2 linked regions of the Oryzias latipes genome follow. The protein of the gene in region 2 binds, or shares a complex with, the protein of the main gene of each other region. Links are inferred from orthologs where the notes say so. Each region holds a gene or a part of one and is shown on either strand. Other genes may lie near its edges. The genes, in order: sf1 and prpf40a.

What was found.
Region 1: the proteins of prpf40a (region 2) and sf1 are in contact, whole or in part, in an NMR structure (PDB 8PXX), measured with the Homo sapiens proteins. The link is inferred for Oryzias latipes from reciprocal best matches to the Homo sapiens genes PRPF40A and SF1. Residues at the interface, in NP_001352526.1 of Homo sapiens: His164, Ser166, Tyr172, Tyr174, Ser181, Thr182, Trp183, Tyr213, Tyr215, Ser222, Arg223, Trp224; in NP_004621.2 of Homo sapiens: Pro575, Pro576, Leu577, Pro578, Pro579, Gly580, Ala581, Pro582, Pro586, Pro587, Pro588, Pro589, Pro590.

Annotation. Positions count from the first base shown.
Region 1 is NC_019876.2:29,175,167-29,179,676, reverse strand, and holds the start of sf1 (splicing factor 1), read right to left. Parts: upstream 3,018-4,510; 5' UTR 2,867-3,017; coding exon 2,620-2,866; intron 931-2,619; coding exon 805-930; intron 1-804. UniProt on the Homo sapiens protein: Necessary for the ATP-dependent first step of spliceosome assembly. Binds to the intron branch point sequence (BPS) 5'-UACUAAC-3' of the pre-mRNA. May act as transcription repressor.
Region 2 is NC_019879.2:20,295,215-20,299,033, forward strand, and holds part of prpf40a (pre-mRNA-processing factor 40 homolog A), read right to left. Parts: intron 3,502-3,819; coding exon 3,421-3,501; intron 3,312-3,420; coding exon 3,171-3,311; intron 2,488-3,170; coding exon 2,404-2,487; intron 2,021-2,403; coding exon 2,002-2,020; intron 1,908-2,001; coding exon 1,888-1,907; intron 1,794-1,887; coding exon 1,749-1,793; intron 1,646-1,748; coding exon 1,535-1,645; intron 1,345-1,534; coding exon 1,224-1,344; intron 1,014-1,223; coding exon 989-1,013; intron 829-988; coding exon 571-828; intron 1-570.

The sequences.
Region 1 (4,510 bases), on a different chromosome or scaffold from region 2:
TCCCACAAAGACTCTGATCAAAGAGCAAATCTAAGCGTCGCTTGTGTTTCTGTTCACCTGAAGCTCCTCCGATGCTGGTCAGGGGCACCAGTCACTATAATATAACATATCAAAAAAGCTTTGGCGGCGTGTTCACGCTCACTTTTGACTTGTGTTACGTGTTCAATAAAGCCACAGGGAACAGAAGCATTAAGGGTCTCTCTTTGAAATACCCCTTAGACCAAGTTATGCTAGGGTGAACCCCCCCCCAGAAAACCAAAATTATTGAATAACCAATTTTTGTTACAACATTGCAATGTTTTCATGCACAGAAACGACACTGATGATGTGCTGAGGATCAAGCAAGACACTGGGCAGTGACCTGGATCTCAGAATAGATATCAGCAGGCAGTGAGGTTGGGATATCAAAAACCCATCTTGCTAATGGGAGCCCAATGGTATGCAAACAAAGAGACTACAGGACACAGCAGCACCACTTAAAGAGAATCCAACGCTTCAACATGTTATAATCATTGGTCATTAAACATGACAGCTTCATCTCAACAGTTGGAACAGAATCCGATTTCTCACACTTTGATAATGTTGTGGAAAAAAGATTAAAATTGGTTTAAAAACAAAAAAAGGTAGGAATTCTGTAGAAGTCTGCGGAAAGCTCCAACTGTTGAGAATTTAGCAAAACAACATAAACACTGGTATGCACTTGCATAAAATCCAAACCTTAACAAAATACATCGGATGAAATGTGAGAGAAAATGGCATTTATAGCATTAAAAGCCAACCTTAGCTGAATAAAGCAACATTTACCTATGTAAGCTCTCTCTTGATCCCGGGTGAGTCCAGGAGGAATGACGGTAGGCATTCCGGGAATGATCGTCTTCTGATCGGGGGTTTCACTGCTCCATCTGCTTTTCTTTCTTTTCTTTCCGAAATCTGCACAAAATGGGGGTAAAGTTGTTGTTTTTTTAGATGACATCATCCAAAGCTAAAGGCAAAAGTCAAGCATCACCATGAAAACAATGACAGTGGAAACGATTTGTATTGTTGTTTTTTTTAAACAAGCATTACGTCATCCTTTAACAGGTACACTGTAATATAAAAAAAAATGTTTTCTACAAACACAGAAATTACAAATATTGCAGTAAGAAACGATCAGAGTATTCAGGCAAATCTGGAAAGAGATAATCCAGCAACAACACCAACTTCCAGTTATTATGAAATAATCTACCCTCAGCAAAAAGTAGTTTATTTAAGTATACTACAAGTATATTTGGTCTATACTGAAAGTCAGGCAGTATACATGAATTTCACTTTTACATGTCATCTATAATGTAAACTTAAAATGTTCCAATTCAGTCTGAAGCAGTATTTAGTTACCAGTAGTAAACTTCCTACACTTCATATACATGTCCAAAGTCTGGTTCATGGGCCAAAGGTGGCCAACTCACAGTTCCTCAAGGACCAAGGACACATATGAAGAATATTAACATTAAAGCTGCTTTTCTATTACTTCTTAAGTCAAATCATTGTGAATCGGGAGCAGACAAAAAACGCAGTTGGGAAAAGCCTGTAGCGGTGATGTAGGTGCTATAGTCTTCTTGCTCCGCCCCTTCTTGATCATCCACTGTCAGACAAATAGATCCATGAACGTCTTTGTTTTCCTGAGCTGGAATCTGGATCTAAACTGTACGGCTGGATAGCTACGATGTTGCTGCTGCTTTTGTTTCACTGCTAATGTTAGCTTGGTGATGTGAGGGGCTGTAAGCCAGCGGGAGAGAAGGAGGGTAAGTTCCAATCCAACACTCCCACAACTCAGAGGTGATTTGTAATGAACTCCTAACTGTGGCTCTTCAGAAACTAGGTTCTAGAAAACAACACAGGTTTCTAGATTTGGAATAAAATCATCATCATCATCATAATTAAGAGACCACTGAGAAAGCTTTAACGATAGATCGAAAGAGGATCGGAGCGGGACTTTAATAAATGAACTTTTTGTTAAAGGTCTACAAGGCTGGCCATAGTTTAGTGACCAGATAGCGACACGCATGCGCGTTGCTGCATTACGTTTTAAACCAGTAACTTTCAATAGAGAACACATTAAATAACGGCATAAAACAAATGTGTGTAAATACTATTTTTAAGTTAATGGCCTTCCTTAATTAATAATTTATACTTTTTCTCCAAGTTTCTTTTGCTGCTTTTTAACGATTTTCTTGTTGTTTTTTGACTCAAACTCTCGGTTTTTTTCGTGTGCAAAGGTTTGATTTTAGACTCGAATCTCTGGGAGAACACGGATGTTTCTAGAAGAACTTTATATTCGAACAAAACTGGCAACGACGGAGAGGTCAACAATAAATTCCAATCCGTGGCACTGCCAGCCCGTCCCGGTTCCATTACGGCATCAAAGTTCGTCTTTACTGGTCCAAACCCGGGTCGTAGCTACCGCTTCGCTCCTGCGCAGGAGCGGGACGCTCGCCTCGTGGCTCGTCCTGTCTGGTCCGAGCTGTTTACAAACCAGCGACGGCCTCCATTTCGTGAAGCGGCGCTGGCTGCGGGCCTTCGTTCGTTCCACCGTACCGCCTGACAAACGTTAGCAGCCCCCCCGGCTTTCGGTCCACTTACCACTCTTGCTCATCCCGGACACGGCGGCTGGTTGAGCGGGGGTCTGAAAATTGCCGACTGGATTGAACTGGGCAAATGGGGCGCTCGGCATCGCGGGCTGGAAGCCCGGCATCGCGGGGAAGGAGGCGGTCGGCCCCGGCGCGGGCATCAGCCCATTGCCCGCACCAGGCCCCGCATCAAATCCCCGTTTAGCGCCGATGCTGGGGTGCAGTTTCCCCAGAGGAGTGGCGTTCGCTCCAGTCGCCATTACCGCAGCACCGAAATGGCTTCTTCTCCGTTCAGCTTCAGTTCAATCCGGACTTCTATTCAAGGCTAAATGACAAAGCAACATCTACCTGCAGTCTACCTCAAAATGGCGGCTAACAGAATATTACAAAGGTTGAACCGCGGGGAAGAGCAATCCAACAAGAAGAATTCCTATTGGCTGAGCTCAATTCTGTACTCTAAAAGACGATTGGCCAATTCGGTCTTCAGTCTGATGACGTCAAATAGGCTAACGAGTGTAAAAAGGTCCATTTTCTGTGCAATCAATCTGTAACGTTCCTGTCAAAGAAACAGAAACTTTAACAGACTTAAGCATTATTATTTCCAAAAATAGTATAGACAGATTCTTATTTAATTATGCCCCCTTAATTGATAAATCCAGGGGTCCCCAAACTTTTTCCAGTGAGGGCCCCTTGACGTTTCCATCCTCTGATCGGGGGCCAGGGTCCGTTTGAAACAGAAAAAGTGTGACAGTCGCAGGGTTTCCTAAATGTAAATATTTATTGTTTCCCAGAAAGCCACTTATAACCCGATCTGATATCAAATAATTCTCTCTGGGTTCTTCAGGAAAAAAAAGAAAATAATAATAATCAGCAAACATATAATAACTTAATAGATATTATAGCTTTGAGAGTTGCAAGCTCTCATATTTCTCTTTTTGACGGGATTCATAATGTCGTCATAGATTGTCTTCTTTGAATACCGCCACCGTCTATTAGCAGATGATACAAACAGCATTTTCTTTATGTTGAACAAAAAAAAAAACTTGTTTGTCCTCCACAGTGGACACCAGTGAAGATCACAAATCATTGAAGAAAAAAGGTTCAGAGCACTGTCTAGTGGGTCTAGATGACCCAACTCCCAATGTTAAAGTGCCTAGGATAGAACAAGGGTTACATCATACTTTTAACATAAAAAGGATTAAATAATACTTTAAAAAAATCCACTCTCAATCTGGAATATTTTCCCTCATCTCATGTTTGCTAATGTTGGTTTTCTCCATTTTCTTCTCCTCTTTAGTTATAATATTGACAAATACCAGTTAAACTCTTTGCTTTTTACAGACAGATTCTTCTTTCTTATTTATAAACACTATTTTTCCCCTCATAACCTTTCTATTTGGAATAACAGATATATTCTTTACAAGAACAAATCTTTATTTTACAATCATTGGTTTAATAATAATATTCTACTGGTGGGTCAGCTTTTTAACCACAATGGTCAATCACTCAGAAAGAAAGAATTTAACCTTAAATGTTGCCCTGCTGTTCCTCCAACAGAGTACGCCATTGTTTTTGATGCTGTTAATGAAATCTGTCAGCTCTTTAAAAATACGGAACTTGATGAAAATATCTCCTAATAATGACACTAATGTTGGAAAATCCTGTTTCAGCTTTGCCCTTAAGATAAAAAAAGTCATGCTGTTTCAGCAAAATGTCATTTCTGTTCCCTCTGCTGCGTTCTAGTGGGGAAATATTTATTCCAGACTAAAATATGTGGACTCTGGATCAGGAATTATTAATCAATAACACGATGAGAGACGTCTCCTACAAACATCTACATAGAATCTCTTCCACTAATCAATACATACTAAGATATAATAAGACAATTGACCCCAGCTGTCCTC
Region 2 (3,819 bases):
ATATGACCAGTTATGATTTGACTGGAGATCTGAAACGGATGCAGCAAAATACAAAATACAAATAAGTTAAAAGATTTAATTTTTTAAAAACACATAACGGTAAGTAAGAGTTTGTAAAAAAAAAAAAAAAAACAACAGACACTAAAGGCTCAACTTTACCACCCCAAAATACTATTTGAAGTAATGGAAAGGCATCTTTCTTTGTCAAACTGCTGCTTGCTAATGCAAATTGGGATCAACATAAATAAAACTGCCTTTAATGTGAATGTCAATGACTTATTTATTTATCATCACTTGTAATAACTTCCAGTCTAGCTCAGTTAACATTTCTGCACTTAACTGCTTCAAAACTAACCATCATTTTAAAAGCTTAGCAATCTGTCGCATCTGTCAATAATAGGAAAAAGTTTTACAATAAAAATGAATAACTTCCTTTACTCATTTTGATGTACCTGTGGTGCACAGAAATCATTTGTTCGGATACAATCCTAAAGACTTTTAACAGTTCAGGGCTGAAAAACATAGAAATGGAACTTTTTCTTTCAAATATTAGGGCCTGTAATGTTTTACCTTGCTGTGTTCTCTGTCACAGCTGAACTCTCGGTGGAAACCACAGGTGCATCTGTGGTCTTAACCTCAGCTGCTGGATGCACGGACACCTGGGACGGTAGCTCCTCTGAGACGACTGCTGCTGCAGCAGCCGCTGCTGCCGTAGCTACAGCGGTTGTTGTTTCCACCTCCGTCACTGCAGCCAACGTAGCAGTGTTGTCTGCCTGCACTGTGGGGGTAGCAGCAGTTCCTGGGGTCACAGCCGCCGTCTCTGCTGTTCTGAAATATAAATATATATATATATAAAAAGCTCTTTTACTACCACAGATGCTTTTATGATTACCAAGAAAATGACACATTTGGGATGATGACTTTTGAAACATATCGGAAGTAAAAAAAAAGGTGTAGAAAGTAACCCAGGGAAAATTGAGAAACTTACCCGTTCTCCTCTGCTTTGATCATAGCTGGAAGAGAGAAAATGGGTTTACTGTGAGGGTTCGGCTCTCATAAGAGACGAACACCGACATGATCTCACTTAAGGAATCAATGTGTTCCTGCATTTGATCGTGTAGCGAGTCAAAATGCAGCTTATGAAAAGTGTCATTCACTAAACATCCATGGTTTGGATTTGCTTTATTCTCACACAAAAGGCTGAGGAAACGACAACTGTTTACCTTCGAGGTCCTCCAGCTCTTTGGGTTTGGTCCATCTGGATTCCTTCGTTTGAGAATTGTAGTAATATGGCTTTCCTGTGTCGGACTTGTACTCCTTCCAGTGGCATTTAGACAAAAGTTGCTACAGAGGATAAAATTCAGTGAAGTTTGATTCTGGTATAAAACCTCTTTTTAAAAGAAAAGAAATTATCTTATGCACATTAATAGCATTTTATAAACAGATTCTGACTATATTAACTTGGGACAGTACTATGAGCAGTAAGCTAAGCTGCCCAGTTCCCTCGAGCATCGTGACATGAGCGTTTTTGTACCTCTGCAGGAGATTTGAGATCGTCAGGTTTCTCCCATGTGGACTGTTTGGTCTCGGTGTTGTAATAATACGTTTTCCCATCCAGGGATTTATGTTCTGTCCAAACAGACTTCTAAAGCAGAAAACACAACAACGTTAAAGCGTCCCTTTCCGTGTTAATGCAACATTTTTGTTAGAGCCAAGGTAAAGACTTTTGTTTTGAAATGTGAACCAACCTTCTTTGGTTGCTCTTCCTGTGAAGCTCCATTTGTGGTGTTCTGCTAGAACAAAGCAACAAAAATAAATTCAGAAACAAGATGAAATATAAACAGGAAGTTAGTCAATTGTATGAAAGTAGACGCTGAATCCACTTACAGTTGTTCCCGGTGCAGCAACTGTCAAAATCAACACAAAAAGAGAGCATAGGCTTGAAATGCACATAACAGCAGTGAAGTAAATTAATCATAAAGATATCATTAAGGATTGTACCTGTTGTATCAACACCAGGCTGAAAAATAAAAATCACAGAATTAGTCACCATTTAAAAATAAGAAACATTAAGTACAAGTGATAGAAATGAAACAAAAAAGGTTTTTAGACTAGTGTTAACGCTCTAGGAAAGCAAAAACAAATTCATGCTTTTCAAAAATGTCCTCAAGTTCCAAAATCCATTTGACCCATTACATAAAACCGATAAAACACCTTCTTACTCTACAACTGAAAACAACTCGAGACTTTCATGCAGTTTTAACTTCAACTACACATTTCAACGTTATGGAATATAACCATTTTTTTGGAATTTATTTAAGAAGATATTCTTGAATTTGAAAAATAGCCATGTTTTTTTACAGTATGTTTAATAAAAAGAGGAAAAAAGATTGTGAAAATTACCGGTCCCGTTGGCTGTACAGTCGCAGCTGGGATGCGAGGAGCCATCATCATCCCTGGTAACATAGGTGGCAACATGCCTGGCATCTAATAAAAGGAGCATCATGAAATATTAATTTTGCATTTCCATACTAGCAAGTGCAGGCCTAAGCAATAACACTCTGAATGAGAAAGCATGACCGTGTAAAAGGCTTGATTTTCAATGAGGAGAAAAGAAACTTTGAAGCCAAGTATAGCAAGCTTGTCTAAATAAATCCAACCACAGCTTATGCTCTGTGAACAAACAGCTCCTTTCAGATCTGTAGGTATGTCACTTGGCATAAACTTCTTTCTAAAAATCTTTTAAAACCCAAATACATTTGTGACGGCTGTGGGGAAAAAAAAAACATTAATTCAATTCTGAAAAGTGATCTGAAGTGTTTCAATCACAATACCATGTTTTTATTGAAAAAAAAAAAACCCAAAACAATCAGATCGCATTCATCTTCACATACAGATTTTTATGGTTCATTTGAAATTTTTCTGGCAAGGTCGATTTAATCTTTGCTTTCATTTAATTAATCTATTTGTATCTTTTGATATTTATTATCGTCATTAACTATATTTCTGTTAGCATCTTAGTTTTACAAAGCTATGCTCTCAAATGTAACTTTAGTCACAGCATTAATGCAACCATAAGCTGAATAACATGAATAAATAACGGCATCCAACTTCTTGCAACACATTGCAGAAGAAGCTGCATGGGCGGTACAAATGTCATACAATCATACCTGTCCCAATGGTGGGGCTGCCATAGGAGGCATTATGCCAGGGGGCATTATACCAGGAGGCATAGGAGTCATGCTAGGTCGCTGACCCATAGGGGGCATTCCCATCGGAGCAAAATGAGGTGGTATTCCTGGCGGTCCCATCTGGTGAAGCGAAAGAGAAAAAAAGACAAACATAATTCTTATTTACTCCAAATACAACAGAGAAATAAAAAAGACAAAAACATATTTTTGAAAATTATCCATCACTCACATATGGAGGAGGTATTGTTGAGGGTGGTACAGCCGGATAAGCTGGTGCTTGGCTCGGACCATTGTTAGCTTCTGTTGAAGACTGTTAAGAAAAAGAAACAAAACACAGTCAGAACTCATAACTTGTACTTTTGGAAAGTCCCTTAAGAGTCAATTATTTAGGAAAAACCAATAAATCTAAATCCTCAAGTTTATTGACCTGCCAAAGAAAATATTTAAAGCAAAGCAGTATAGAAACAAACTAACTTAAAGTTAGCATTGTAATTACATGAGGACAAATATCATTCCTTTCATAAAAACATGCATAAGTATTTTAAAGTCAATCAGTATAAAAAAATAGCAATCCCAATATTTTGATGATACATTTACTGATATATTAAAAAATATATTTTGTTTAAAC